Oreochromis niloticus: one gene and its partners. The protein of the gene in region 2 binds, or shares a complex with, the protein of the main gene of each other region. Links are inferred from orthologs where the notes say so. Each region holds a gene or a part of one and is shown on either strand. Other genes may lie near its edges. The genes, in order: ints7, ints9, brat1 and ints11.

Region 1 (7,693 bases), about 12 Mb from region 2:
AAGAAGCCTTTCTTTTCTTACCCGTCAACAGCTCCTGAAGAGATGAGGGTGTGCTGATCCCTAAACAAAACCACTGTAACACTCTGCTGGGAGTCCTGCAAATAAGATGCAGTAGCTAAAGATTAGATTTCCATTTGCAGCATCGCTCTTTTCATTCCATTAAACAGCTGATTGTCGAGAAAACTCACCACGCTCGGAGCCATGCCGCGCATGCCGCCCCGTCTCTTCTTCGTTTTAGAGGGAGGGTTTGTCTCTGCTTTGTTGTGAGCTCCGCTGATCTGGTTCACCTGTCTGTAGAAACCATCTGAGGGAAAGACACAAGTTTGATTAAAGCATTCATATGAAAGTCACTATTTTGTATGACCACCTTTATTCTTCAACATAGTCTAACTCTATTCGGGAAGCTTTCTTGTCATTTCTTTAAGTAGTCTTCAGGAATAGTTCTCTAGACTTCTTGAAGGACATTAATCACAAGGTTGGGGGTTCGATCCCTGGCTGCTCCAGTCTGCATGCCAAATATCATCAGGCGAGATACTAATCCTGCATTGTTCTCCGATGCATCCATTGGAGTATAAATGTGTGTGAATATTAGATAGAAAGCACTTACATGGGAAAGGCATAGAAAAAAAGTGCTTGTATGAATAGGTGTAAATGAGTAAATGAGGCAAGTTGCACAAAAGTGCTTTGAGTGCTCAGAGTAGAAATGCGCTTTATAAGAACGAGTCCGTTTAACAGTTACTGATTTTCAGTCCAGTTTTTGTGTGAGTTAGCATACCCCAGACTTTTCTCCCTGCTCCCTTTCTTAAGAACAGCCTGAGACCGATGTTGATGAGGCTTCAGTTAACAGCAGACGGATCAACTAAAGGGCTTTCTTTGAAGGACACACTGCACACAATGCCAAAATACACCCAGGTTTTCAGGCTAATGGTTCTTTGGGAAACACCTTGGTGGTGCAAAAGTACTATTTTATGCCTTTCAAACTGAGTGGTCGTGGCATTTTTCATAAATTCAACTAAAGAAACAGGAAAAAATTAAGTGTTTTTGCTACAGGCTGCTAGTAACAAAGTGGCTAAAGATATGATTTAAAATTTATTGCTAAATTCACTATTATTGTTCTGATCAATACCTTTTTTGCTGCATCTCATGTCCCAGACCATAATATTTCCATCTCTGGCTCCAGTGGAAAACACAGCTGTGTGACAAAAGAAAATGTATTAATCACATGATACAACAATATATCATCAATGCACAACCAACACGGTGTTAGCTCAGTAAAAGGTATACCTTTCTCCTCTGGTGCAAATGCAACAGACTTAAGACTGCAGAGGTGGCCCTTGAAGCTGCCTAACAACTCTCCAGACTTCACATCCCAGAGCCTGGCCATCTGGTCACCCGCAGCAGTTACCTGAAGAGATCACAGATGACCAAAGCATAATAAGAAAAGGCTTCAGAGTTTTTAATGAGTTCCAACAAAATAAAGAACAAAAAGAAAAATTAGTAAGGTAGATGGAATTACATGAGTCATGCATTTGAGGGTGACGCATAAAGATCTGACTTTCTGCAATTCTCTGACTAAACAGAATAAATTTGCACTTACTAACTGAGCCTCCCCTGGCATCCAGGCGATATCAAAGACAGCATTCTCATGAGCCAGCCATGCTGCAAGGTTCACACACATTTAGCCACCGACATTTCAAAATACATGACATGACAATTATGAACACAAGTCAAAAGAATACCTTTAAGAAGTGGATATTTACGGCTCTCTGTGTTGTAGAACCTAACAATGCCTTCTTCATTAGCTACTGCGAGGATGTTCTGCTGGTCCCTGGCTGAAAACAAACAGCAGAAACGAGACACTGCAGTTAGACAGATTAATGATAACAGGTCCTTGCACTCACAATGATAAGCACAAATGAATTACCAGAGGAGAAAGCTAATCCAAACGGTGGCACAGAGTCGCCAAAGTTCCCATAGGAGATATGTTCATCATGTCGGACACATCGGTAGCCTTCAAGCAGGGAGCTCAGAGGGTACCTGGACCAGGGATCTGCAGGGAGAGCTGAAGAGAATGATGCATGGTCAGAGGAGGGAAATCAATGAGACACAGCAGTAAAACTAACGGAAAAATCATTGCAGATTTAAGTGGACAATCATCAAACTGCTTTGAGCTGATATTAAGGCAACTGTAACTCAAATAACCACTTGTTACAATTAAGATATGCAGAAGAGCATCTCTGAGCATGCAACACATTGAACCTTGGAGTCATTGCAGAAGAAGACTACACCAGCTGCCGCTCCTGTAGGCCAAGAACAGGATCCTGAGGCTGCTATTCACACTGGATCAACAAAATTGGACAACAGAACACTGGAAAAACATTGTCTAGTCTGAAAAGTCTCGATTTCTGCGGTGATGTTTGGATAATAAGTTCAGAATTTGATGTAAACAGCATGAAAGCATGGATCCATCCTGCCTTGTATCGACAGTTCAGGCTGCTGGTGGTGTAATGACGTGGGGGGTATTTTCTTGGCACACTGAGTATCATGTTGTTGTTGCTGACCATCTTTTATGAACACGGTGTACCGATCTTCTAATGCAGGGGTGTCAAACATACAGCCCAGGGGCCACAACCGGCCCGTGTAAAAATGTCAAAGAATGCCTAAATGTGGATTTTCGGTTTGTACTTGTGAACCGATCACGCCACGAGAGTCCAAACTGACGGTCCAGAGATTTGACTCATTGTCATTTTTACAGCCTTCTTAGTAACAAACAAATCACCCCTGACCTGCTATACTATACCAAAATAAGCACTAGACACCATTAAAAATAAAATAAATGAATAGAAAACAGAAAATTAGCTGGGTTTTCATTATAAACGAATCAATGGGCAAGTTCCTATTTTATTTAACAGGAAAAAATAGGATGTATTCTTTGAATTACCAGAAGATTTTGAGGTTTTTTTCTTTTGGGACCATTTACTATAATCACCTGTATGTGTAATGAATTTAGACTGGTAACAGTGAGGCTCATATTTTATATACATATCCTTAAAATTTTCATAATATACTCAAACATCTTCCCACTTTCCATTAGTCTGGTAGTCTGCAGCAGCTTGGCCTACTTCAATTTTATCTATACGTGACCTTTTACTACGTGACACCCTTGTCTAATGGCTGTAATGGCTGCTTTCAGCAGGATAACACCATGTCACGGAGCTCACTTCCTCTCAGACTGGTTTCTTGAACATGACGATGAGCACACTGTACTCAAATGGCCTCCACAGACGCCAGATCTCAAGCCATTGGGATGTGGTAAAACAGGACATTGCATCGTTGACGTACAGTCGACAAATATGCAGAAACCGTGTGATGCCATCACGTCAATATGGATCAAAATATCTGAGGGACGCTTCAACCAACTTGTTGAATCTACGCATGGAAGACAAAAGAGGGTCCAACCCAGTGCTAGCCAGGTGTACCTAATAAAGTGACCTACGATCATAGATCGGCACGCTCATCTTCTCACTTGCTCTTGAGTTGTATAAACCAAAGCCAATCAAAATGTGAGAAACTGTCCTGATATGTACTACAGGTATAAGGCAGGACATATTGTTGATCTACCACCCGTTGGAGTCTGAACAGCCCGACAAAGACATTCACGAAGAAAGTAGAGTTAAACGTTAAAGTCCACACTGAACGCAAAAGAAAAGCAAGTGCAAATGATACTCTAGGAGCCCTCCTGGCAGCATGACTCCTCCAAATATAAAGCAGAGATGTTAGACTGCATTATCTTCCATGGTAGACTAGCTAAAGCCCAGCCATGGCCGTGCAGATAACCCAGATCTCCCCAAAAACCCATCCCTGTCTCACCATTCTGCCTCCGTCTGCCCACTCCTCTGTCCACCACTGAGCGGAAAAGCATCCCTGCACTGCAGCACAACTCGATCCTAAGGCTTTTGTATAAAAACGTAACGTTTTCCTCGATGTTTAGCTACTGGTGGTCCGCTTTCCCTACCGATGCCGGGACACTGTTTCCCGCGAATAGATCGTCCGAGCAGAAGGACTGAATTCCCCGCTAAACTTGCGTTACGCGCAACCATTGGTGGAAACGGCGACTTCCTGGGCAGGAGCGCTTCTGCTTCCGCTTTCTTTGTAAAGTTTCCCACCATAACTGGAGAAGGAGACGCCCCTTCAGCATAAATAAATATTTTTTAAAACGATTAAACTAATAACTAGCCCCTCTTTGCATAGTATGTTTATCCTGTTAGACAGTTGTTAGTTTAGTAAATACACTTTGTTGTATACAACCACTGCCAAACAAATGCTGCATGTATATGGTGCATTTAGTGGTGCAAGTATGTGTGACAACACACAATTTCAGGTTGTGCGCAGTGTTGAACTAGAAAATGAATATCTGTGACTGCAACAAAAGTTATGAAAATCACAAGTAAAAATGTTCTTTTCAACAGAAGCACTAAAGTAACAAAGGTTTAAAAGTCACCATGACTATGATATCTCCAATGTAACTGTTGTTATTTAGAGTATTATGGTGTTACCGATTCATCCATAATCTATCATTTGATGCTAAGGTGATACTAGAATAATATACTAATACATATTTCACGTAGATATTTAACGTAAATCTATTTTATAAATAGTCCCTAAAACAGCTTGGTAGCTCGCGACCATGACAACTGGCGTTTTATTGTGAAAGTCAATCTCCAGACCGGATGTTCTGTCTCTGTATCCTCAGTGTTTTCCTGAATACCGCCTGAACAGTGAAATGCTAATATCTCATGAGTGTATCTTCTTTTAAGGGGTAAAAACTGCACAGTAATGTCGCTCTCCACCGCACGCTCATTCCTGTCAGAGGCTTGTTATGGCGAACAGGAGCTCGACGCTAACTCCGCTCTCATGGAGCTGGACAAAGGTGTGTTAGCTCGCTGGCTAAAGACTTAGCATATGGTTCATTGATTGTGTTCTGATCCGGTGTGTCGTTTCCTCGTAATGTGTTAAGTGGAAGCTTCCTGCTTTGTTGTGACTGGAGCATTTCCACTTTATTTTCAGGGTTGCGGTCGGGGAAGCTCGGTGAGCAGTGTGAGGCTGTGGTTTTGTTCCCCAAACTCTTCCAGAAGTACCCATTTCCCATCCTCATCAACTCTGCATTTTTAAAACTAGCAGACATCTTCAGGCTCGGGTATGATTGCTTTAGATGATCATTTATTTGTTAAAGGCTACTTTACTGACAGTTGTTTCACACTTTCTTTATAGCTGAATCTAATACAGGCATCCCAATGCATTTCAGAGTGTAGAGAAAATTTTAATAACATCTCTAAGTAATTGAGCGTACAGTTTAACCACAAGCCTAAGCCGTCAAAAGAAAATGTAAACACTATTCGCACACTCATGTAGTTCACATAATCACTCCCAAGCTAATGCAAAAATAAAATAAACAAACTCTGAAACACCAAAAAATAACAGATAATAGATTTTCTTCTTATATTTAATGAATAATTGCGTGTCTTTGATGTCTCTAATGAACTTGATGTTTATCAATCTTTAAAAGTACAAGATACTTTAAACTAAGCATACCCAGTAAACTGATCATTGAGGGCAGGCCTGTTAATGTGTTATTGTGTTGTGTTTGAACTGTAGTGAGATATTCAGGGAGTATCTGTGTATTTTATTTTACTTTAGAAAATAAAAAAAAAATTAAGAAAAGTATGAATAGATGTAAGTACAGAGGGAAAAATGTTGGTGTGAGAAAGGTTTTAAAAATAAAAAAACTATAATTATTCTTCATGAAAAAAAAGAAAGGGAAAAAGTTGACGGAAAAGAGAGAGAGAAGGTTCCAAATAAGAGGATTTGGGGAAAAAGTGAATTTATTTCACTTTAAGAAAGAATAAGAACTATTCTTACTTAAGTGGATTTTTCAAACTTTAATTTTATTCAAAAGTGCCTAAATAAATAAATGTGCGCATCTTATGCACTTTTTAATAGAATGTTTTTGAAGTTGGTAAGATGTATTTAGAAGGTGCGAGAAGTTAAAGATGAGCTTTACTGTGCCACAAACATCTTATTTCTCTTTTCCAGTAACAACTTTCTGCGTCTCTGTGTACTCAAAGTGACTCAACAGAGTGAGAAACATTTGGAGAAGATTCTCAATGTGGATGAGTTTGTGAAACGGGTGTTTTCAGTCATCCACAGTAATGACCCTGTGGCCAGAGCCATCACTCTGAGGTAACAATGTGAAATGATGATTAAAAACGCGAGTGGCGCATCTGACCCTATCCCTAGCACACTCTTCTGTCAACCCTCTGCATGTCCTCCTTCACTACATCTACAAACCTCCTTTGTGGCCTTCTTGCCTGGCTTTGGCATCTTTTGTGCAGTGTATCCAGTGTCATTCCTCTGCACATGTCCAAAACATCTCAGCCTTGCCTCTCTAACTTTTACTCCAATATGCCCAACCTGAGCTGTCCCTTCTTTCCTATCCTGTGCATTCTCTGTAAGAATCGTAACATCTTCATCATACATGTTAGCAGATCTCACTAACATCTTGCAAAACTTCTGCTTCACTCTTGCTGTTATCCTTCTGTCACAAATCACCCCAATACTAGTCTCCATCCACTCCACCCTGTCTGCACTATCTTCTTCAGTTTTGTTGTGCACCATCTTTTCAGTCATCTCAGATTTTTAAAAAGAAAATTCCTGCTGTCTTATGTGTTCAGGATGCTTGGTAGTTTGGCCTCCATCATCCCAGAGAGGAAGAATGCCCACCACACTATTCGCCAAAGCCTGGACTCTCATGACAATGTGGAAGTCGAGGCAGCCATCTTTGCTGCTGCAAGCTTCTCTGCACAGTCAAAGTAAGGAAACAATGACTAAAAGTGAGCTCTGATGTATGGGATGATGTTTTAGATGATTTTATTGTTGTGTGGCTTTTTAATTAATTTTTATTTTTTATTTTCAGAGACTTTGCAGCTGGAATTTGCAACAAAGTTAGTGAGATGATTCAAGGTAAGATCTTTATTCTTTACGTGAAGATAAACGAGAGCTGTCGTGGTTCAAAGCTTCATTGTCACTGATGTCTTTTATTTTTAATTGTCACACTAAACTGAGTACAGCCATTAAAATTATTCTTTTTTTCATTCTGAAATCACGGAGAAAAAGAAACACAAAACACTGCAAATACACATTTTGCTGAACCCAAAGAAAACATTTGTCACGTGCACTGCATCTTTTACATAATGTTTGTATTGGTCTTTTCTTCCACCTCAGGTTTAGACACTCCTGTGGAACTGAAGCTGAAGTTGATCCCCATGCTGCAGCACATGCATCATGACGCCAGCCTGGCGTCCAGCAGCAGAGAGCTTTTACAGCATCTGGTGAACTCTTATCCTTCCACCCCCATGGTCATTGTCTCCCTGCATACTTTCACCCAGCTGGCCGCCTCTTCCCTCATAGATATCCCCAAGCAGGTAGACCCAACTTGCTCGCACACAGCTATGTGTCATTTCTTTTAGTTTGTTGTGGTGCACCTCTGATTTGGTTCCTAATCTGTTTGCAGCTGCAGCTCCTCCTTCAGTACCTAAAAGATGATCCGAGAAAAGCTGTGAAGAGACTTGCAGTTAACGATTTAAAGCTCCTGGCTAAAAAGGCTCCTCACCTGTGGATAAGAGAAAACACTCAG
Region 2 (7,339 bases):
GCCGACGGCTGGTTGCTAGGTTAACCCTTTAATGTATGTACCACTCTGTCATGTGTCAGTAACCAGCACACGTTGCTCTCACAGGTAACGGCGTCAGCTGTTCGCCTCAAAGGTGAGAAGAGTTCAACTTTAGCTTTAAACACTGTAAAGCTAAAAGGCTACAAATGTTGCCTTTTAAGCCTTGATCAAACTTCAGAGAGACTTCTAACACACACCCACACTTCTGTCTTCTTATGAATTGCGTTTCCTGGAGTCTTGTGACACTTGCCAACTTGCCTCATGCTCGTGTTACAGATACTTTCTGCATCTTGTGACACATTTCTATTGTTGTGTTTGCTACCACACAATGCATGTCGCAGCCAGAGGTAACCAAAAGCTTACCTTCAGCGTTGACCAGTCAAACTGCGTCTCCAGAACATTTTGCACTGAGATTCCTGAGTTGATTTCAGTGAGTTTATCGAGAGCCAGAATGCATTCATCTGCTCTTTGTTTCACCTGAAAGATTAAACAAATGAATTCATTCTGTTTCTTTAAGGTGCCATTTACCTTTACATTCACGACATCTGTACAGATACGACAAATAAAACCATCATTTTTTCCCCTACTATGGGATTTATAAACTCCCGGTCTCCCTAAATTTTTGTTTATGGTGGGCAGCAAATCAGAGGGAGCTTCTCTTAAAGGGAGGGGACAGGAAGCTAGAGTGGAGCTGAGCTGCTGCACTTGGGCTCAGTACAAGATAAACCAGGATTGTGTTGAACTGTGAGTTTTGCAAAGCTACTCTGATGAACAAAAAAAAAGAAAAATCCCTCGCCTTAATCGTAGATTTAAAAAGCCAACTGCTGTCTGCAGTCCCTGATTCCTTTCAGCTTTAAGATAAACGGGATGTGACCACATGCTTGCTGTTTAACATAACGTGCCCAGATGAAAACAGAAGAATGTCAGCTAGAACAAACAAGGATGTGGTTTGATTTTAACATCAGTGCCAAGCTGCCTGCGAGCAAACGGGTATGAAGTTATGCAATCAAGAGACTGAATTTGAAACCCACAGAGGGAGTCTGTGGGTAATCTCTGCGACAACATACTTGTTTGTTTCTGAGGGGGAATTCGCTCTCTCCGTGCCGCAGAGCTCTGTAGTACATCCACTCCTTTACCAAGTTCTGTTGGGTGGCACCGGATGATTTTGTCAAACTTGCATTTGACCTTTCTGACTCTGGCTTATCACAAAAATAATATGTAGCTGACGCTGACTGGTCTCTGTGGGAGAAAAATAAAAAATAAAACCATAACTGGTAGTTCCAGCCCTAGGAACAGATATTACTTCCTTCACTTTACTTGGAACAATTAGGGTTTAGACACATGTAGAGAACACATCCTGTTTGAGGCAGCGTATGACCCCCTCTCTCTGAAAGAAGCAAAGTCACTCTCATGTTGCTGCTCTCACACTGCAGCCATGTGCTCTGTCTGCAGCTTTGTCAGCATGTCACCGGCTGCTAAAATCCAGCAAAATAACACTTCCATCACCATAAGCGACAGGCCAGCTGTGGCCATTATGTTCATCTCCATATGGTCCCCCTTGTCTGCATACTGAAAAGAATTGTGATGACCTGGTTCGTACCATTGTCTGCACACCCTTTCCACTCCTACTACACACGTAAACAGACAGCCAAGCAAACAATAGCAGAGGACAAACGTTCAGCTACGATTTCCTCCGAATGAAGATTACAAAGAACACAGATTTCAAACTCATTTTACATCGTAGGCCACATACGACCCACTCCGAGTGGGGGGACCACTTAAGATCAGAAACTGTCAGTGTAAAGATGTTTAAACACACAATTAATCCCTGAGATATCTTCATATGAGGAAAAGAAGTGTAATTTCAAAAGTTTCTCTCAGTTTTATGATAAATGTGTAAAATAAGAGAAAAAGTGCTGCTAGCTCATTGTGCACACTGTCATGCATTTAGAATAATATACTTTTTTTCTATAGTAAAAACATCTATAGTAGATGCTCGAAAAATGGGAACTTTTCTGTCATTTAATTTTTTTTAATCTATTAGTAACTATCTGGTGTAGCATGGACGTAATGGTCTGTAAAATTTTAAATACAGTTAAAAGTTCCAAAGTCTGTGCACTCCATAGCCTTCCAGTGGGCCCGATTGGAGTCTCTGCCTGGCCGATTCTGGCCCCTGGACCCTATGTTTGACAACCCTGCTATAGAAGGTTTTGGTGATTAATGGAATGAAAACTACATATGAACCAAATAGAAAAATTACCTGTGTTCCACTGATGCCACGATGAAGCCCTGAGAGGCCATTTCTGCACATATTGCTGAATACAAGGTCCTGAGAAACAATCACAGGAGCCACAGTGTGAGCAGAACTTGTAACGGGTTATTGCTGCAGGAGTGACGAAATAAAAAGAACAAATGCATTGTGTGTGTACCTAAAGGCTCCCAAGCCGTGGGAGAAGATGATCACGGGACATTTTTCATTCGATTTAAATGGAGCATCCAAATAGGCTGGGATCTTGAAGGACCCTGAAATAGATAAAAATGAGGAACATTCACATTGGCTATTTTTTTAACCACATTAGAAACTGAAATAAACTAGCTTTCTATTTTTTTTTTTTTTTTTTTTAGTGACTAAAGTCATATAATATCATATAATATTGCTGTCCTGAGCAAATACATTTGACTTTTACACCACAAAGAAATAGACTGTCAGGATGGAGAGGGGGGTGGGGGTGCAAATTCATTAATAAGTGTGCAAGCATATAAGACTTGAGAAAGCAAAGAAACAAAGAAAAAATAGTCCATTTTATGCCATGACATCATTAGAAATACTGGATTTTCCTAATTTATTCACCAAAGAGGTAGTTGAAGATCCTTTCACTGAGGGCCCTGTTCATTTTCATGAAGTCAGCCAGACCGTTAAAGTACTCCTTGCATGGGACCCAGTCAGGCTTCTCGGCACTTTCCATCTCCTGACAGGGATAGTACAGCCGGAAGAATGTGCCCTGTTGGAGAGACAGACAGCTAGTTCAAGCAACTCAGCAGAAGGCCATTTGCTCCCGTGATGTCAGCAGCCTGCGTGGCCCAAATACCTGCTTTCCATAATACCTGTGGGTACCCAGCCCAGCATCTGCAGCACACTCGAGAATGTCAAATACAAATATGTGAGCTCAGCTGTTACATGTCAGCATGAACAAAGGTTTTCTTTTGCTTGTACCTCTGCAGTGTGGTCCATCATGAAGTCAGTGCAGCCCACAGCGTTTGGGCCGTTGCCTGGAGGGATCCCAAGGTTATTACTGCAGCTGCTCCCCATGGTGAAGAAACTTAGCGCGGACCTCTTCTGGTCTGGTAAATAGAAACACGCACACATCTGTACATCAATACTGCTCCTCTCTAAAAGGGAAAGATAACAGGACTAAAAATCGTATTATTTCTGCACGGATGTTACTGACCGCAATGAATAAATGTGTATATGCAGAATGTATCATTATATATGCTTGACATTCATTTACATTATTAGTAGTATTGTAGCTTTTTATTAAGTAGTTTATTAGTATCAAATGAAAGTCAAAAACTTCTTCACTGTACTAAATGTTATGTGAGACCGAGTCGCGAAGTTTACGCCTTGATCTAATCACAGAGAGCTCCACACAACCGCACACTTGATTCATTTAACTAACCGGGTCAAAGTCTTTGTGCTGTCAGTTAAAACAAAAACCCAAAACGTGGCGTGTTAACTCCTACCTGTCCTCGCCCACGCGTTCAATCTCTTGACTCCTAACTGAAGAAACCCTCCATAAGAAAACATCGACTACAGCACTTTCGATAGCGACCTAACCAAACGTTTTCTATCTCCACTTTAGCTGCCGGTAACAGTAACACTCGTTAAATAAAACAAAAGGCCTACCGGAGATACAGAAGTGCGAGCGCTGCCCGGTGTTTCTACATCAGTTTCGCAATATTACCGTGGACTGAGAGCAATCACAGGATAAATGTACTGCTTTGGGAGTGGTTATTGTTTTTGTCAGTTAGCCGCTGCTAGCATAGGAGGGGGCTAGACCAGAGTAGTGGATGAACGGTGTTGAGTCACTGTATTAGTCCTGCCTCTGCCGGCCTAATGGCGTCCCCCAACTTAAACCTTAATGACCTACATGTCATATTATTTAACAGTTGGCAATCATGCTTCTATCTTTACTCGAATTACGGCATAGATGGCTCTAAATATGAACTCAACCAAGGCCTTTGAAATTGTGTCAACTGCTCTGTACACGGCTCTGGTTTATCGCAGCGACTCTCGCTGACAGCTCTGGAATCAGCGCGCACGTGCAGTTGTTTACAACAATCATCGACGCTTTAATTAATATTTTCATTAATATCGTGTGAGCCAAGGTGCTGTTGCCAAAGCAGCTGCATATGAGCGCTGGCTTCTCAGCAAAAATGGCACTTTTAAAGTGTCGGTACATTTGATATGACTCCACGTCTGTTGGGGGCAGTAGAGGACAGCCGAGCGGGAAACAAAGCGAGAAGGGAGCAGAAAAGCAGCGGAGAACGATGCTGCGTTAGCAAAGCTAACTGTTGTCAACTCATTTATCAGCAACTCCTTTTGTTAAAGATGAAATTGGTGAGTAAAAAGCAGATCAGTAAAGAGAACAATTAATGTAGAAATAGTCGAAAGTGATTAACTTATAGTCACCCAAAAGTGACTGTTAGCTGGAAGCTAATAGCGGTTTTTTTGGGTGCAGTTTAATAAAGTGGAAAAGGTGAGCAGCGAACAGCAAGTTAGTACAGCGTGAAGTGTTTAACTATGCATACGAAAACACGGAAACAAAACCCCTTTGACATTTTGGTGTCGGGTTTATCCTGCTTTACTGTATCTGTATCTTTGTACACCTACACACACCTGTGGTTTTAAGGGTGCATTTCCTCCTTGTAGTACTGTCTGTCGGGTCATCCTACATTGCCCTGCAATGTCCTCAAGTTCAAGTCCACCACCATCATGTTGGACTGTGGACTGGACACCACCTCTGTCCTCAACTTCCTGCCCCTGCCCTTGGTGCACAGGTGAGTCACTGACAGTAATTCATTCATTCATTCATTCATGGATAAGAGATGTGTTTTGCTTGATGATGATGATCCTTTTTTTTTTTTCAGTCCAAGACTTTCCAAGCTACCTGGTTGGGTCTCTAAGGATGGAACAATAAATTTGGGAAAGGCACGAGAAGCTGTTTGTAATGTGCTTCGGTTACTTGGCGTATATTTCAACGTACTGCAGTTTTTGTATGAACACATGCCGATTTATCTGTGGGGGGGAAAATCAGTTTTGCCTTATGCTTGCAGGAGCTGAAGGAGTGTGCAGGGAGGGTGTTTGTTGACGCACAGCCAGAGTTCTGTCTCCCTGAGGTAGACATCCCTGATACTTCATCTCTGCATCAGTGTTATAGCTTGTGCTACTCATTCAGAATGTCTCTGCAAAACAGGGGCCACTGTAAAGCATCAGAGTTGGAGCAAATCCACCTATTTTAAACAAATAAGAAAAAAAAGAAACCTGATAGGCCTGCCACAATTGACAAGAAGAGGATAATCCACTCAGAGAAATCAGTTACTATGATCAGCACAGTGTGATTACTGCGTCTTTACTTTCACAGTAGGTCCTATCTTAATAAATACCTGAAGTACAACAATGATATCTATTTAATCTGAATAACGCACAGAGAGAACTGTTGGACCTGTCCACCATCGATGTCATTCTTATCTCAAACTACCACTGCATGATGGCCCTGCCTTACATCACAGAGCACACCGGCTTCACCGGGACAGTGTACGCCACGGAGCCCACGCTGCAGATTGGCAGGTGACAGATGCAGGGGATGATTACCACATCTTACTATTTTTATATTATTTTTGTGATATCATTATTTCATTTGGTAAAATGAGATACAGGTCACACGTCTTCAGTTGCGTTTATGCTCGTTCTTCCTCTTTTCTTCCTTAGGCTGCTGATGGAGGAGCTCGTGAACTTCATGGAGAGAGTTCCTAAAGCCCAGTCTGCCACGTCCTGGAAGAACAAGGAGATACAAAGGTAGACTAGTTTTGTAAAAATATTCTGTGTGTGTGTGTGTGTGTGTGTGTGTGTGTGAGAGTTGACACATGAACTACAGTTACTGACTTTGTTTTAGTCTGGTCATTTTTGAAGTTTCATTTTACCTTCACCTAATTTTTCTGGTGTTTTGTTACACCTCCACTAGCAGGGTGGTGTAACTCCACCGTTCAAATGAATACTTATGTTATTGCATTAGGATGCTCCCGGGGCCGCTGAAGGATGCAGTTGATGTGTGGATGTGGAAGCGATGCTACAGCATGCAGGAGGTTAACTCTGCGCTCAGCAAAGTGCAGCTTGTGGGTTATTCACAGAAAGTGGTGAGAACTGCTTATGTCCAGGAGATATTTAAGATTTCACATTTTTGCTTTCTTGCAATGGTGACTTCTCCTTGTCTTTTCTCTCGTTTTTTTTTTTTTTTTTTCTTGCAGGAGTTGTTTGGAGCTGTACAAGTCTCCCCATTGAGCTCCGGCTACTCGCTGGGCAGCTCCAACTGGATCATCCAGTCTCACCACGAGAAGGTGTCCTATGTGTCTGGCTCGTCTCTACTCACCACACATCCTCAGGTAGGCCAGCAGGCTTAATGCTTCACCATTTCAAAGTCTACTGGGCGTAACCCTTGAAGCTTTTTCCTGAGCTGAGTGATTTTGCTAATATTTCGGGCCTGTTTACAGAACAAACTGATAAAATGAGTGTGCAGCAGTCAGGAAGGGTGGTCTCTGCTCGTGCAGCTAAACCACGTCATTGATTTCTACTGAGGTGTCAAAACTTGTCATTGAGGGTCCAGCGGAGGTCATCAGATGTCGTCTTTATGGGGGAGAAAGTTAAAGTTTGAAGGGACTGAGGACAAAGCTGTCACGATCTAGAGTGTAAAGAGTGCAGTCTGTTATTCGTTTAGTCACAGATTTCCTTTTTCCTGTGCTCAGAGTTTCTTTTGGAAGCTAAATCTTTAGGCGAGTGTTTGTCAGTGCACGCTGTAATTGTTGGAGAATCTAGTCTGTTCTGTCCTGTCACAACTACTCTGCAGTGTTTCTCTTCTTCTCTGCTCCCAGCCCATGGACCAGAGTTCCCTAAAGAATAGTGACGTCCTCATTCTGACAGGCCTCACTCAGATGCCTACTGCCAACCCAGATGGCATGCTGGGAGAATTCTGCAGTAACTTGGGTGGGTTTTAATGTAGCGCTTAGATTGACGTGGTACCAAATGTTGAAGTCATTCTCGTATCAT
Region 3 (7,603 bases), on a different chromosome or scaffold from region 2:
GGAGTCGGCCCTGGAACGTCCACAGCCAGTACGCATTGTCCACCTAGCACGCACGTAAAGGTGGAGAAAAATGAAGTGAATGGATGACAGAAAAAGATCAGATTGCATTTCCTCTCATCTGCAAAGGACTGACGAGGCCTGTGGAGCGCTACGCACCTTGTGGCTCCACCACGAGACAGAGGTGACAACGTAGCGACCCGTTGGATCCCACTCCACGTCAGAGGCCATGTAATGCTCCGCTATGTTCATCATGGTGCAGTCTGACGTGTCTACAAAGGCGAGAGCTCCGTTCATACTGAAAGGAGAGGCAAAGCGGTTATATCCACGTACAAATACACTCATCTCTACAGATATTAAACAAACACAAGCCTCAGATTCGCGTTAGAATCAGGAGCTTAGCTCTCATACGAGGTGTCAGAAAAAATGTTTACTTTGTCATCAGTGGCTTCTTATATTCATCTCACACACACACACACACTCAGATAAAACCTACCTCCTGAGCCCAGCCAGCACCATAAACTGTCCCTGGGGGCTCCAGAAGATGCTGTTGGCCTGCTGCTTGTCAAACATCTCTGTGAAAGGAAAAGTGTCACATTCAGTTTAGTGGACACATTAGAAACAACAACGCTCTGCCATAACATTGCATGGCTGTCCTTCTACTCACTTATGAGCTCGATCTTGCCGTTGTTTTTGACATGATAGAAGGAGGCGTTGATTCTTGGCGACTCGCCGTGAAGGACAGCAAACTTACTGCCATTGGGCTCCCATGCAAACGCTATGATGCTTTCTAGAAGGAAAACAACACGAAGGGAAACAGATTAACTTCCTTTCTGTGGAAATTAGAATTACTTGCAGCTCATTTCTGTGTTTGTACAAATACATGTCTTACCCTTCATCTCCACCACATCGACAGGAACCTGCTTCTCTCTCATGCGGAAGATTTCAAAGTTGGTAACGACACCCTAAGAAGGCAAAAAAATAGTCAACTTATTATTTCTTGTTTTTTAAAATTCTGTGACATATAAGCCGTTTGCCCTCCTTCTATGAGTACCTGTGTTCCTTTGGGAGTCCTGTCAACTTTCACACACAGATAATCCCCGTTTCTCTGCCAGTGCAGCTTGCAGTCAACGACATTGAAGAGATTGCGAACGCGGATCTCCTGACGGGAGGGCATCTGCATCAGAGTCACCCTGGCTGGGATGTCTTTGTCCTCGGGTACCCAGAATGCTATGATGTTGTCACCAGGAGACCACGAGAAGTCCCTGAAGATGCACAAAAATTAATATCTCTACACAAAATGCGGTCACAATTTAAAGCATGAGCGCATGAAGGACTCTTACTTTATCCCAGTAATCTTGAGACTCTTCTTGTCCAGCAAGCCCATAGACTACAAGAAGAAAAAAACAAAACAAAATATAAACCTTTAATATCATTTGAACATTTCATTTAAACGCATCTAGACTGTTTTCAGGCCTACTTACCGGAGTTTCATAGATACTCAGTGTGTCTGGTGTCATCCTTGCAAAGAACTTCCCATCATGGCTCCATCTGATAACAAACATGTAAAATTAGAAGACACATCCAAACTCTGCAAGAAGCAGCAAATTTGATTTAAATTAGATTTAAAAGAGAGAAAGCATAATACGGACTTAAAAATAGGCCAATGTGCAGAACTCTCGCAGTGGAACCCTCTCTTCTTCTGTCCGGTCAGAATGTCCCAGATGATGATGGCCTGTGGGTCCTCCTTGGTGTCCATCAGTGGACTGAAGGTCACCACATACCTGGAAGCCAGCACAACCACACATTAAGCTCAGACTGTGGCTCACAGGCCAACTCGGCACCTCTTTAGAGTGCTTTATCTGCACATTAATCATCCTTTGCTGTCCCCATGTCATGGTGCAACAACCCATAGGATTTAGGTGACGTTGCCTTATTTACAGGAAATAAATAAATCACTAATGAATAAACACTTGAACGGGATACTCTATAATATAACTATAATGTGCTTCTTTGGATTAAAGTCGACTTTTGATTACCTTTCACATGGTGAGAAGTCGATGAGGGACACACCCTGATGGCTGAACCTCTGAATCTGTTTGAACTTCTCGCCGCCCCACAGTGCAATTCCCCGCTGGTGGAACGTAGCCAGGTAGGTACCTTTAGGAGACCATCGGACGTACGTCTCTGTCCAGCGCTGCATCAAAGCAGGAAAAACATCAGAACTCTCCAAACCAGTGACTACTGACCAGTCATGTTTGATACGAGCCCTGCATTTCCCACCAACTCTGCGTGAGTAATTAAAAACTCACCGCTCTCTCTTCAACTGTGATTGGCTCTTTAGCGTCGTTGGAGAAAATGGCAGTCCTCTCTCCAGCTTCATAAATCACACTGTACTGGTCACGGCAATCTGGGTCCTCGATCCAATGGCGCATATTCCCCTGAAAACACAAACAGAGTTATTGTCGCTTGCACGGTTTCAGGATAGAGACTGTCCTGTCGATTTATGAAGGTCAACTTAATAATGAAAGTGCTGACATGAAGCTATTTTTGCCAAACTAATTCTAAGTGTTATAAACTGATTCATTATATTATGACTGAAAAGTTAAGGTAACACTTACAAAGTCTTTGAAAGGCTGCTTTGCTGGAGCTTCCCATTCATCGCTGATGTTCATGTATCTGAGAAAAACAAAGGTACGATTATTTACTTGTATTCCAAGTCTGGCAAGCAATACCTGGACAATGCATTGAGTGGTACTGCATACTCACTTGTCAAAGTCAGTGAAGAGGTTGACCCTAAACGTGTGCTGCTTGTCGAGTTTATATCCATCTGCGTTCTTGACTGCTTCGAGGGCTTGAGTAGGAGAAGCATACTCCAGGAAGATGTAACTGTAAACGAGGAGAAAAAACAATTACTAAAAAACAAAACAAAAACTCTGCTTCAAATCCGGAAATCCACCTTGAATCAAAATAGATGCACAAAAGAACATAGAAGAAAACAACTGCGGTCATACCCTTTGGTCATACCATCCGCCTCTGGGTAAAACTCAGTCGTGATCTTGCCAAACTTGGAGAAGATCTTGTGTATGACGTTCTTGAGCTTTTCCAAACGCTCCGGGCCGACCTGAGGGACGTTGTCCACCACCACCACCGAGTCTATGCCGTCTGCCTCCTGGGGTTTCTCCCTCAGGATGTCATCAAGAAGCTCTGAAAAGTGAAGGAGGAGGGTCAGGGTGATGAACAAGCTGATAGGACTGTGTGGGGTTGGGGTTCTCATCTCATTTTAATGTCGACCTTCTTTTCATATACATGAACCAATCTAAACTTTATAGCCACCACTTCAGTTACTGGAAGGGAAGACTGCATCGTTGAAACAAACAATTCTTTTGTTTAAATTTTCTTTAGAGATGTGCAGGTTTAAGCTTCATGATTTATAAGTAGACAAAATATAATTACATCATAATAAAGTTAATTCAATAGTACATCTCCTTTACACTCACTGCTTAATACACATCATTTTGATAAGGATAAAGAACCGCTATGCTGGCGTGTTTAGCTTCACAGAAGCTATTTCATTTGTGTCCTTGTTTAACTTCAGCAAATTAATATTAAATGGTACCAATTTTGTTGTAAATTTACCCCAAGGTTTCTACTATACATAAATAATTATATTGTGACTACTAAGTACAAAACACGTGTATCTGATGAGTCATTTTACCACAACTGCAAAACTTGCACAATTGAAAAGCTCTAATGAGCAAACGCCCCTCAGACCTGGGTTAGGATTACCATTGAGCTACAACCAGCTGCCCCATTTAAACTACTTTATATAAGCAAACAGCACAGAGAAAATAATGTGCCCTAACGGCTTTACTAGCTAAAATCCTGTTTCGGTTTTTCAGATCGTATCGCACAGGCCCCAGTGAGTGGCTGTGTGGGGTCTGGGTGAGGCTTTAACGGGCGTTAAGTACACTGTGATAACGTTATGTTGGGAGTTTTTTGGAGAAAAAGGGTGGTGTCGCTGTTGTATTCCTGGTAATTACGCTTATGCATCCAGCTCATGGTCACTGTTCACTATTTACTATTACTACGTGCCGGTGACCAGAGAGGCTAGCTAACTAGCTTTGTAGCATCTAAAACATCCCCACCATTGAGCTCTTAGCTAACTGCTAACAGCAGGCCGGAAAGCCGGCGTTTTTCCTGTGACTACTTACCGTCGTCATCCACATCGTCCACGTAGTCCTCCGGGTCGCTGAAGGAAGGCTCCTCCTCTTCATACTCGGGGTCGTCCACCATATCCACCGTTTCTTTCATTTAACAGAACTACAACACGGACTTTTGTCTACAGCGGAGCAAAAATCCCGAAAACGAAAAGGCTGGCGATCCTCAGCCGGTGCAGCACCATGTGCGGATCCGTGAAAATGGACGACGTGACGGAAACGCGACACCGGAACCTCCTCAAAGGCGCGTGAAAAGGCTGCGCAGAAGCAGTAAAGCTGTAAAGCATAGGGACCGGAAGTACAACAGCTACTGGTGGTAATTTTCCCCCACAGTGATGTTTAGAGATCAGCGAAGAGCGCAGCGGCGTGAGACCCGCCCAGAAGCACGGAAAAGGAAACGACGCACCGGTAGATCCGAAACTGTTTCCCGCGAGACGTTCGTTTAGTAAAGTACAAAAAACAACGACTTTGTGTGTTTAAAGTGGCTGCTTCAGTTTGGTCTGTACTGCATAATTTAGCTAGAGGTCACATTTACATCCACATGAGTGGTTAGATAATGTGTAGACTTTATATAACTCCTAGCTGTAAAAACCTAAGCTAGCAACGGCGGTTATTAACACGCACACCTTAGCCCCATGGACAGAGAGTGTGTGTCACTGCTGCCCCGGGTCTGTGAGGTGCTGGCGGCCTCAGGGAGCTCGCTGCCCGATGACACCATTCTGGAGAAACTGCTGGACTGGTTCACAGCGCTCACCGAGGCTGGTTAGTAGTACTGACCCTAACAGGATCGTGTCTTTATTCTTCCTCCTCTCCCACTATCTTTCTAATAGGAGGATCAATTCAAATATTATATTGTTAAAAGTATCGATACCATCTAATCGATACTTTATTTCTATATTCTAAGTTCAGTGTGTAACCCTCTGACCTGGGTTGAATAACAAATATTTTGTAAATGAAACAAACATGTGATGACTGTCTTTTTTGTGTTGACTGTCACTTCTGCTTGATTTAAAGCCTATAGCATATTTGAACGACACAAGCTGAGACAGAGACAAGCACATTTACATTCCAGTTCTCCGAAAAAAAACCAGCTTCAAAATACATGAAAAGCTGAAAGGTGTGTTTTAAAGAGCCCTCATTCTCCAGAGAACTGATCTAAACTTAATACCATGCAGCGAATCACTGTATTTGTAGGTGATTATTACTCAGATTATATCACCGATATTTGCAGATAACATTTACATTTTGTAAAAGATCCCAAAACTCAAAGATACTTATATATATGTTATATTGCATTAATAAAGATAAATTTAAATTTAAAATGTTCCTTTTTCATGTCTTTTGTACCTTTATCATTTCTCTTTATGGTGCACATAAAAAAGTGATCCCGTGTAAATCTGTATCCTTGTTTTTCTTTTCTTTCACTCTTTGAAGGGGAGTCTCTGCTGGAGGCCTGTCCGTGTCTGCTTGAGTTCATATCTGCTGTGATTCATGACACGGCTTCAGCCCCAGGTGTCCTCTCCTTCACTCTCAGACTCATCGGCTTATTGGCTGCTGCTGAGGACGCCTTCAGAATTCTTAAGGTAGAGCTTCTGACGCCTGGTGTATTTAGTAAACTGTTACAAAATATTCCAATGCTTATCTGCCCTATCATTGTGCCTCCCTCTCTCTCTTGCAGGAGTCCTTAGTTCTGGATCTTGTCTTTAGCTGTAAGCACTGGCAGGAGTTAGGGCTCTGGGAGGATCCCTGCATACGGATTGGCTGGATCCAGGGCTTAAGGACCACACTGCAGCATCCAAATGGTCTTAGTTTCTTTATACAAGCAGGTGAGTTTTTTGCATCGATTCATGAGGGGGGGATCATTAGTATTAAGGATAATATGCTATTTCTATTCGTCCTTTCATTTGTTTGCTCCTGCATATCAAATTCAGGGTCACTGGGGGCTGGATCATTCCCAGCTGCCATAGGGCGAGAGGCACTGTGCTATAGGTATTATATTGTTGTAATTCTGATGCATCCTCATATATATGTATTATATTTGTTTGGTTTTTTTAGATTTCATTGAGCCACTTCTGCAACTCCAGACAGACACAAGCCTATTTGTTGCCTCAGCTGCCAATCAAATGCTCGCCCACGTCCTGCTCTTCTGTCAGCCTGTCTCATCTGTAGGATGTAATGGCACCGATAAGAAGGAAGATGAGCAGAACACACGTGCGTCCAAAGCAGTTGTAGAAAACCCAGCCGAGCCCATGGAAATAAACCAAGATTGCACCGCTGTTGTCGATGCAATCTCAGAGTACCTCAAGAGGGCGCTGGGGGTTCCCAAGGGAAGCACACAGCTTCATCAGTGTCAGCAGACTCTCAGACTGCTGGCTCTGCTCCTGGGCCAGACCAAGCCTCCTCTGCGGGACAAGCTGCTGCAGACAGTCACAGCTTCTCTGGAAGAAATGGTGGCAGCAGATTGTTGTGAACTCACACTGCCTCTGATGGATGTCATTCTAGCTGCATGCAGGTAAACCCCTCATAAAACACAGGAGAGTGTCGCTTTATAGAGTTGTCTGTCCTTTTTTGTCTCTACTAGAGATTATTTGGATTTTAAGTAGTGACTTTAAGAGGAAGGTGAGGACAGTGGAGCTTCCTGGCTGAATATGCAAATCTGCTAATAGATATAGCATCGATGGCTTTGTTCTATTGATCTATGCAATACCACAGGACAGTGTAATGGTCAGCCATCATCCACAGCATTTACCTAGTGGTTGTTTTTAAGTATACATTAGTGACTGTGCTGCTGTTCAGGTTTAGTTTATAGACTCTTGCTGTGCTTGCTTCTGCAGCCGCCTCCCAGACCAACGCATCACCCGTCTTTTAACTTTCATGTTGAACGCCAGGAAACCTGCTGACCTCGTCCATGCTGCAGCTGCTTTTCTCCGCGGCGGCCATCAGTAAGCACAGCTTCTTCAGCCAACACAAACTCTGTACACGAACGTCTGTAGAGGTTGGGTTTTCTGTTAAAAACCCATGGGGATTTGTCATTATAGTATCTGTCTACAAAATATTGTTCCTTTTCTTCTGGTTTTATGTGCAGTGACCGTGTCCACACAGCTCAGTCTGTGAGATTACTGCTGCTACCCCTCGACATCATATCTGGCCAGAACCTACTAGGCACAAACACTGCAGGTGACCCACAAAGACGTACACTCTTGAGAAAAATCTGTGTTATCTTGCATTTATGCTATGGAGTAACATGAGATCTGGGCCTGTAGGAGACATGCATCGGTTTGCCATGACTGAGCAGCTGAAGAGCAAAACCTCCTGCATCTCCATGATCAGTGTGTGTCTAACAAACACACCTCAGATCGCACACATGGTGAGTGTAAGGACAGGAG
Region 4 (6,915 bases), on a different chromosome or scaffold from region 2:
ACTGTTGATTTAAAAGCAAAAGATTAGTTAATAAAAATACATTCAAAGGTCCATTACGTGGAGGAAAATGTACACAATCTTATGTTAAAACATGTATACAGTAGTTTCAAAATTAATCTTAGTGGTATTACAGCTAGTTATGACACAATCCAAGCAGCAGAAGCATCTTGTTCAGCAGCCTTTCACCAAGGACAAGTTACAAATATTTAATTATATAAAGTATGAGCCGTCAGATATTAGCACTTCTTGCTTCTAAGGTAAATCAAGCAGGTTATGTTGAGCATATAGGTCCTCTGTGATCTGGTACACCTCAGAGATGAGAGGTAGGGCCTCCCCCAGCTTGGCCACAACTTGCTCAGGCGGGCCAACATTCATTACTTCGAAAAAGGTTTGGCGACCAGGAAGCACGAGGAACGCCATGCCCGCAGCCTTACGGATCATCCACGGATGGTGCTGGGCAAGGGACTCGTTGTAGGCCTCTGCACACAGGGCAGATGTTTTACTGTCTTCTGTGCTGGTGCGCAGGCGATCCAGGAAGAGCTCCAGCCACCTCAGAGCGCGGTGGAGCCTCAGCAGAGTACGACAGCCAGACTCTGGGTGGCTTCCTTTCTTGTTCACATCCACGAGATTATTGTCCAGTTCGTATTTTACCATCGACTGCACAGTAGCATAGTGAGAAGCGTTCTCACCCTTCATATAACTCACAAGGATCTGGATCTTGCCGACAGCATCCTTAGAAATGAAGCCAAAGACACTTCCCAAGCTGTTCAGAAACCTATTACAAGGAGTAAAAACACACTCAGTTAACACCTGGGTGTCCTTTTGGTCTACTATTACAGCTGAGAGTATAATCAGTAAATTCTAAATGTCTGCAAATTATAATCAGTTCAGTTCACATGAGAAATTCCAAGAATTCACTCACAGACCAGAGCTGAAGCTCAACTCTTTCCCTTTTATGCTGTTCCTGCTGCAAAATATTTCACATACTTTTCACAATAAAAATGCAACATTTATGAAAGCTGCTGCAATTTGAATTTCAATTATAATTACAAATTCCAGTCATTTCTAAAATATTATCAAGATGCAGTTATTATTGTGCCTCAGCCTGTTTCGTAATGCTATCGTGTTGCCTTTGATTCCTTTACTTTTATTTTTTGCTCCTAAAATTGAAGAGAGTCCAAACAATACCCTCTGTCAAGCTGTTGTGTGTTTAGTCAGTTGAATTTTAAGTTAGTTGTATTTCAGTGAACCTAACTAACTAACTAAACCTTATAATCAAACAGCCCTGAAAGTCACACCGTTTGTTGCTGTGTGACATTCAGGATTTTTGTGGTTCAGAGTGGGCCTTCAAAAGGGCCTGGCAGGGCACGCAAGCACAATCGATTGATGTAAAGTAAAGGCAATGAGTTTGTGTTACCTTAATTAAACAATATTAAATGAATTTTATGGATATTTTGACCCTTTGATAAACAAAACTGTTTGTTTGCCTTTTGAATGCAACAAAACCCTCACTATACAGCTCTGGTATTCGTTTCTTTTTTCTATTGAATCCTTTAATTGCTCTTATATAAGAAAAACATGGAGCTTTAAAAAGGAACGCTCATGCTAGCATTACCAGTTTTGCAAATACTTTGTATTGTCGGCCTGCTTCTGTCATCACATTTTATTGATTTTTTTTAAAACCAGAAAGTCCACTGAGAATAAAATCTCTTTTTCCACAGAGACCTAGCCAAGAAGGTACACTAATACCAGGAATATGATCCTGGGATCAGTCTGTCGGTAAAGTAGACCCTTTCATATGTTTTGATCAGCCACCTATCCCAGCCTGTGATATGACCCTTGTTTCACAGACATTCGACTGCTGTAGTTTTGCAATTGAAACTACAATATAACTTTCAATACAATCCAATTTTATTTATTTAAAAATCACAAAAGTCACCTTAAAGTGCTTAACACTATAAGGCACAATAACCCTACAATAATACAGAGAAACCCCAACAATCAGACAACCCCCTATTAACAAGCATTTTGGCAACAGTGGGAAAGAACATTTCCTTTTAACAGGAAGAAACCTGTTAAAAGGGAGAACCAGGCTCAGTCAGGGGCAGCCATCTGGTGCAAGCAGTTGGGGCTGAGGGAAAGGAGACATGATACTGAGGCACAAAGTTGGATGCAGAAAACAGAATTGAACAAAAGGGGGATTTGATTTCAGGTTATACAATTGATTTTGAAAAGAGCTTTAATGTGTTTTTCAAACCTGTGGACATCTCCTGCAATAATGAAGCTGTAAGGACTCATAAAATAATTAATTAAAAAGCAGCAAATTTTAGCCCACCCCTATGTTCTTTGAGGGTCTGTAACCTGGAAAGTTTTCATGCCATGAAGGTGACACTTTTATTTATTCATTAAACATATGAAACTTAACATGTATGTATATATATATATATATATATATATATATATATATATATATATATATATATATATATAGAGAGAGAGAGAGAGAGAGAGAGAGAGAGAGAGAGAGAGAGAGAGAGAGATAGATAGATAGATAGATAGATAGATAGATAGATAGATAGATAGATAGATAGATAGATAGATAGATAGAGAGAGAGAGATTTTTTTTTTAAAGAAGAAGAGTCAGCTAGATCAGATATAAATCTCAAGACTTGATCTTAGCTCACAGTAAACACTCTGTCCTACATTTACCTTGCTGTGATCTGCTCGCCTTAGTTTACTTCTACACTGATCACTTACTTTACAAGCCCACGCCATCCAGCGACGTACTGTTCTAGATAGACTTCTTTATTTTCCGACAGACACAACTTAAAAGTGTCTAGGACCTCCTGGAGGGAGAACTTCTGGTCTTCTGAGCCTGCCATGGTTTCTACCAGGAAGTGCAAATGACACAAACAGGCACGTAAAAAATGAATGAAAAAAATGTATTTCGGGGCTACAAACAAACCGGAACTGGGTAAAAATGTAAGCCCTGTGGTAAACGATCAAGAAGTGAACTCGTCACCTACAAGAAAAGTTAAAATTGAAAGAAAAATTACGCATTTCTTTTTCTCGACAACGTGAAGTGACAGATCCTGTCTGTTCTTATCCGGTTCTACTGCGCAGGCTCTAAATTGGCGACTTTGTCTTCAAAATAAAAGCGAGGGAAATTTTTACCTTAATTGCTTCTTGGACTTATTGAAAGAAGTTATTATAACCCAAACACTGATCCCCCCGCACCTAAACAAATATTTTTGTTGCATAAACGTCACTGATGTGTGAAAAATAAAAAGTGACAAACAACATAGCCTTTGTATGCCAGAAATGAACTTTTATAAATGAATGCACCTGAAATCCCTGCAGGCAGTGCTGAAATTAGGTTAAAAAAAAAGAGCTCCAGACAGGTGAACTGCTACCTGAAATGTCACTTGAAATGGTAACTGGTGTGTAGGCAGTGAAGCAATAATAAGTAAGCAAAGAGTAAGAAGCAGCTGGGCAGGATGAGAGGACTTTAAATATCACTTTGGCCAGTTATCCCGTGACACCGTTTCAGTTTCCAAACCATAGCAGGTCTTATTAGCATCTTGTAAACCTTCCCTTTTATTCTTAATGCTATCCAGACTACGTGATGCCACTTTTTCTTGGTTACTCATTTTTAGAGGGCTCATACTCCTTATGCTGAAAATCTATTCACACATCTATCAGTTCAGTATAATTAAAAGTGGAAGACATAGTGTTTCTTACAAGAAATATAGACACTTGAATTTGTTTTCAAGGTTTGCTTGAAAGGAAGTATAGATTATCAAAATGACATATGGAAATAGTCTTCAAAACATTACCCAGGTGCTTTCCACCTGTTTTCTACAGGCTTTCATAGCAAGGGGTGTATTATTGTGAAAGCACTGGACGGAAGTCCTTCCTGTTAGCCCGACGCTGATAAAAAAATAAAGTCGGTGCATGAAATTAGCTGCATGTTTTAAAGCTACACACAATAAACGTTCCCATATATTTCAGAAGTTATTCAGCTGACACATCCTGGACGTTTAGGTCACCTTGGTGTCATTTACCTGTGTATATAAAAAAAAGGCTGCCCAATGAAAAAGCATGCCTGAAATAAAAGTAACGCCACTCGGTGAGTACCGAAGCTAGCTAGCTAGCTGCTGCGCACTGTTGTGTTTATTACCATTACTAAAGGAGTGTAATTCTGAATTTTTATCTTCTGTTCTGCCCTTCCAAGGTGCTGGACAGGATGTGGGCAGGAGCTGCATCCTCGTCTCCATCGGAGGCAAAAATATAATGCTGGACTGTGGGATGCACATGGGCTACAACGATGATGTGAGTGACATAGTGCATTTGTTATAGCAAACATTACAGTCATGTAATTTAAACACTATGGCATTTTTTACCCTTATTGGTTTCCTTTATCTTATTAGTAGTTATAAACAACCTGCACATAGCATACTGACAAGAATCCCAAATCAAAGCCCTACATGAGTCTTGGGCAAAATTAAAGACTCTAAAGTGAAACAGAAGTGTTTCAAACATGACAGCAAAAGTTAAGACTACCTAGGCTGCTTTACACTGGGAAGGTTTACAAGACTGTAGTGAGATCTGCTGACAAAAAGACAGGAGGCAGGTCTGAAGAAGTTAAGATTTTCAATAGGATTAGAAATGAGTACGTCTGAGAGACATTTCATGTTGAGTGATTTGAAGAGCTAAGGCTGAGATGGTTTGGACATGTTGGAGTGTTTGGGGGTTTTTTTTGTTTGTTAACATATATAGTTTTCCTTAACCACATTGAGGGCTGAAGCGCAATTTCCAACCCTTCTATTTTGCTGATGTGTGCTATACAGGTTTTGGCAAATGTTTTGGGGCTTTTGGGGAGCCAGCAGATATCTGTATGCAGTTTTGGAGTTGTTACTCAGAAAAGTAATGTGGTACACATTACTGTTTACTTTTTGTAAAATGAATGCAGTATATTTCTAAATTACTCATCGGAGAAGTTAATTCATTACACTGCTACTACTAACATCACTTTCACATTCCTGTGTAACTTGACCTGAAATACAGTGTCACATAATTATCATTTAATATAAACCCATGACTACAGTCCCACACACTGACACAAATACCTATCCTAATGAGGACACTAATGATATTTCTTATTTAAAACCAACAATAACACAAAGTAAAATTGAAAATCAGCCCAAAGAGTCTTAAAAGGGGTAACCACAGTGATTCTACTTAAGAAGATAGAGAGAAGAGTCTGACTGCTCATCAATGCTTTCGTTACATGTTGAAGATCAGGCTCTACCTGCTGGGCCTGGGTCTGCATACACTCAGCTTGAACATAACTTTGGGTTCTTCACTTTTTTTGTGTTAGCCTGCTGTCTGCGGGATGTTTTTGAAGAACCGATGGTGTGTTAGCAGTATCACACAGTTGTTACTGTCTTGGACTGTCTTTGATCCTTACCATCAAATTTATTGCAATAAAAGGACAAAGTGGGGGTTGGTGGATCAGACGGTGGTCTGAAGTCTGACGATCCCTGGTTTCAAAAACTAGCTTGTGGTATATGGAACATCACTTTTTGGGTGGAGAAGGAGCCTGAGTTGGTGTGTGAGGATGAGAGATTCAAATTTGATATAGTTGGACTCACCTCAGCGAGTAGCTCAGGCAATGGAACCTCTTGAGTTGCCCTACAGTAGGTGAGAGCAGACAGCTTGTGTTCCCTACTTGTACGTTGAGGTTTTCTCCAATGGATGAGAGGGTTGCTTCTTTGCGCCTTTGAGTCAGGAAACGCGCATTGACTATCGTTTGTGTCTGCGCACTAACTGACAGTTCAGAATACCCAGACACTGAGTGGGGTGGGACTCTGTTATTCAGTGATTACATTGGCAGTAAAGGTGTGACCAAGCTGGCGGAGGTGGGTGAGGTGGGCTGGGCTTCTCTATGCAAACTGCTGGTATTTGTGTACATTCTGACTTGGAATGCATTTTAAAAACAGCTATTATGAAACAGTTCTTCTAGAAAAGAGACTCTCCTTTTGAATGCACTGTTTCTACCTTTGAAAGAAGAAGATTTCCATTTAGTAACAGTCCTATAACAGATTGTTTTATCATTGCAGAGACGTTTCCCAGACTTTTCTTATATAACACAGAATGGGCGTCTGACAGATTTCTTAGACTGTGTGATCATCAGGTTTGTTGTCATATTTGTTATCTTCTTTATATTGCACCTTTTTTTAAATCATCTCAACCTTGTGTGTAACATAGTACACCTTTCTACGTTTTTCAGCCATTTCCACTTGGACCACTGCGGTGCTCTGCCCTACATGAGTGAGATGGTGGGCTATGATGGACCCATCTACATGACCCATCCCACCAAAGCCATTTGTCCCATTTTACTGGAAGATTTCCGGAAGATCACCGTTGACAAAAAAGGAGAAACCAACTTCTTCACCTCGCAGATGATCAAGGACTGCATGAAGAAAGTGATTCCTTTGAACCTGCACCAGACTGTCCAGGTGCAGTGCTGACATCATTTTTGACCACACACGCACACACATCTAATAGTTGCTTCTGCGCCAGCTGCTGCTTCTCTTTTGATGGCAATTCAAGCTGTTTGTTTTGTGCTGGTGGCAGGTGGATGATGAGCTGGAGATCAAGGCGTACTATGCAGGCCATGTCCTGGGAGCTGCTATGGTTCACATCAAAGTGGGATCAGAGTCTGTGGTCTACACCGTAAGTGTAAACAAGTCTGCGCTCTGTCACAGTAGGTGAATTTATCAACTGCAATCTGAGAATAATTTCTTTTTATTTTAGGGTGACTATAACATGACACCGGACAGGCATTTAGGGTAAGTGAACTTTACTGCATTTCTTGATAATCTTCTGGTCTTTATGTCAACACATTCAGCA

Evidence for each region.
Region 1: ints9 (region 2) and ints7 share a complex: the UniProt entries of both Homo sapiens proteins name them as parts of the integrator complex. The link is inferred for Oreochromis niloticus from reciprocal best matches to the Homo sapiens genes INTS9 and INTS7.
Region 3: the proteins of ints9 (region 2) and brat1 are in contact, whole or in part, in a cryo-EM structure (PDB 8UIB), measured with the Homo sapiens proteins. The link is inferred for Oreochromis niloticus from reciprocal best matches to the Homo sapiens genes INTS9 and BRAT1. Residues at the interface, in NP_060720.2 of Homo sapiens: Gly276, Met277, Gly279, Glu280, Cys282, Ser283, Asn284, Ala286, Leu287, Arg290, Asn291, Tyr315, Asp317, Ser318, Ala319, Gly320, Ser483, His484; in NP_689956.2 of Homo sapiens: Ala406, Pro407, Cys416, Pro460, Gln506, Lys507, Arg508, Cys510, His511, Pro512, Arg517, Glu545, Leu549, Gln552, Asp556, Pro557.
Region 4: the proteins of ints9 (region 2) and ints11 are in contact, whole or in part, in a cryo-EM structure (PDB 8RC4), measured with the Homo sapiens proteins. The link is inferred for Oreochromis niloticus from reciprocal best matches to the Homo sapiens genes INTS9 and INTS11. Residues at the interface, in NP_060720.2 of Homo sapiens: Glu127, Gly198, Tyr199, Ser200, Gln201, Lys202, Tyr231, Glu338, Phe339, Ile342, Phe343, Glu345, Gln352, Lys354, Val355, Tyr356, Leu357, Pro358, Glu359, Pro360, Pro361, Arg511, Arg512, Tyr513, Glu514, Lys515, Ile516, Glu517, Ile518, Met519; in NP_060341.2 of Homo sapiens: His94, Gln97, Ala98, His137, Leu138, His139, Gln140, Thr141, Lys274, His277, Tyr278, Lys280, Leu281, Phe282, Ile283, Pro284, Trp285, Arg291, Phe294, Ser449, Pro450, Ser451, Ile452, Pro453, Val454, Gly455, Ile456, Ser457, Leu458, Leu461.

What each region holds. Positions count from the first base shown.
Region 1 is NC_031980.2:13,634,034-13,641,726, reverse strand, and holds the start of ints7 (integrator complex subunit 7), read left to right. Parts: upstream 1-4,679; 5' UTR 4,680-4,836; coding exon 4,837-4,930; intron 4,931-5,067; coding exon 5,068-5,197; intron 5,198-6,093; coding exon 6,094-6,240; intron 6,241-6,731; coding exon 6,732-6,869; intron 6,870-6,973; coding exon 6,974-7,020; intron 7,021-7,281; coding exon 7,282-7,481; intron 7,482-7,570; coding exon 7,571-7,693. Other genes in the region: dtl (denticleless protein homolog), read right to left, coding at 22-95, 189-304, 1,127-1,192, 1,285-1,405, 1,598-1,659, 1,740-1,832, 1,925-2,062, 3,871-3,922. UniProt on the Homo sapiens protein: Component of the integrator complex, a multiprotein complex that terminates RNA polymerase II (Pol II) transcription in the promoter-proximal region of genes.
Region 2 is NC_031980.2:1,194,859-1,202,197, forward strand, and holds the start of ints9 (integrator complex subunit 9), read left to right. Parts: upstream 1-4,323; 5' UTR 4,324-4,483; coding exon 4,484-4,636; intron 4,637-4,915; exon of another isoform or gene 4,916-4,948; coding exon 4,949-5,076; intron 5,077-5,166; coding exon 5,167-5,278; intron 5,279-5,352; coding exon 5,353-5,415; intron 5,416-5,726; coding exon 5,727-5,866; intron 5,867-6,007; coding exon 6,008-6,094; intron 6,095-6,311; coding exon 6,312-6,432; intron 6,433-6,543; coding exon 6,544-6,678; intron 6,679-7,164; coding exon 7,165-7,276; intron 7,277-7,339. Other genes in the region: pla2g7 (platelet-activating factor acetylhydrolase), read right to left, coding at 382-495, 1,086-1,257, 2,279-2,347, 2,448-2,541, 2,870-3,020, 3,233-3,360, 3,760-3,823. UniProt on the Homo sapiens protein: Component of the integrator complex, a multiprotein complex that terminates RNA polymerase II (Pol II) transcription in the promoter-proximal region of genes.
Region 3 is NC_031971.2:13,424,750-13,432,352, forward strand, and holds the start of brat1 (integrator complex assembly factor BRAT1), read left to right. Parts: upstream 1-4,593; 5' UTR 4,594-4,852; coding exon 4,853-4,979; intron 4,980-5,651; coding exon 5,652-5,800; intron 5,801-5,895; coding exon 5,896-6,043; intron 6,044-6,272; coding exon 6,273-6,729; intron 6,730-7,051; coding exon 7,052-7,159; intron 7,160-7,302; coding exon 7,303-7,394; intron 7,395-7,480; coding exon 7,481-7,584; intron 7,585-7,603. Other genes in the region: eif3ba (eukaryotic translation initiation factor 3, subunit Ba), read right to left, coding at 1-43, 157-295, 494-572, 665-787, 890-962, 1,052-1,262, 1,341-1,387, 1,482-1,548 and 7 more. UniProt on the Homo sapiens protein: Component of a multiprotein complex required for the assembly of the RNA endonuclease module of the integrator complex.
Region 4 is NC_031984.2:8,378,757-8,385,671, reverse strand, and holds the start of ints11 (integrator complex subunit 11), read left to right. Parts: upstream 1-3,905; 5' UTR 3,906-4,101; coding exon 4,102-4,129; intron 4,130-4,234; coding exon 4,235-4,332; intron 4,333-6,122; coding exon 6,123-6,196; intron 6,197-6,292; coding exon 6,293-6,521; intron 6,522-6,639; coding exon 6,640-6,738; intron 6,739-6,819; coding exon 6,820-6,854; intron 6,855-6,915. Other genes in the region: cptp (ceramide-1-phosphate transfer protein), read right to left, coding at 253-775, 2,758-2,887, 3,057-3,060.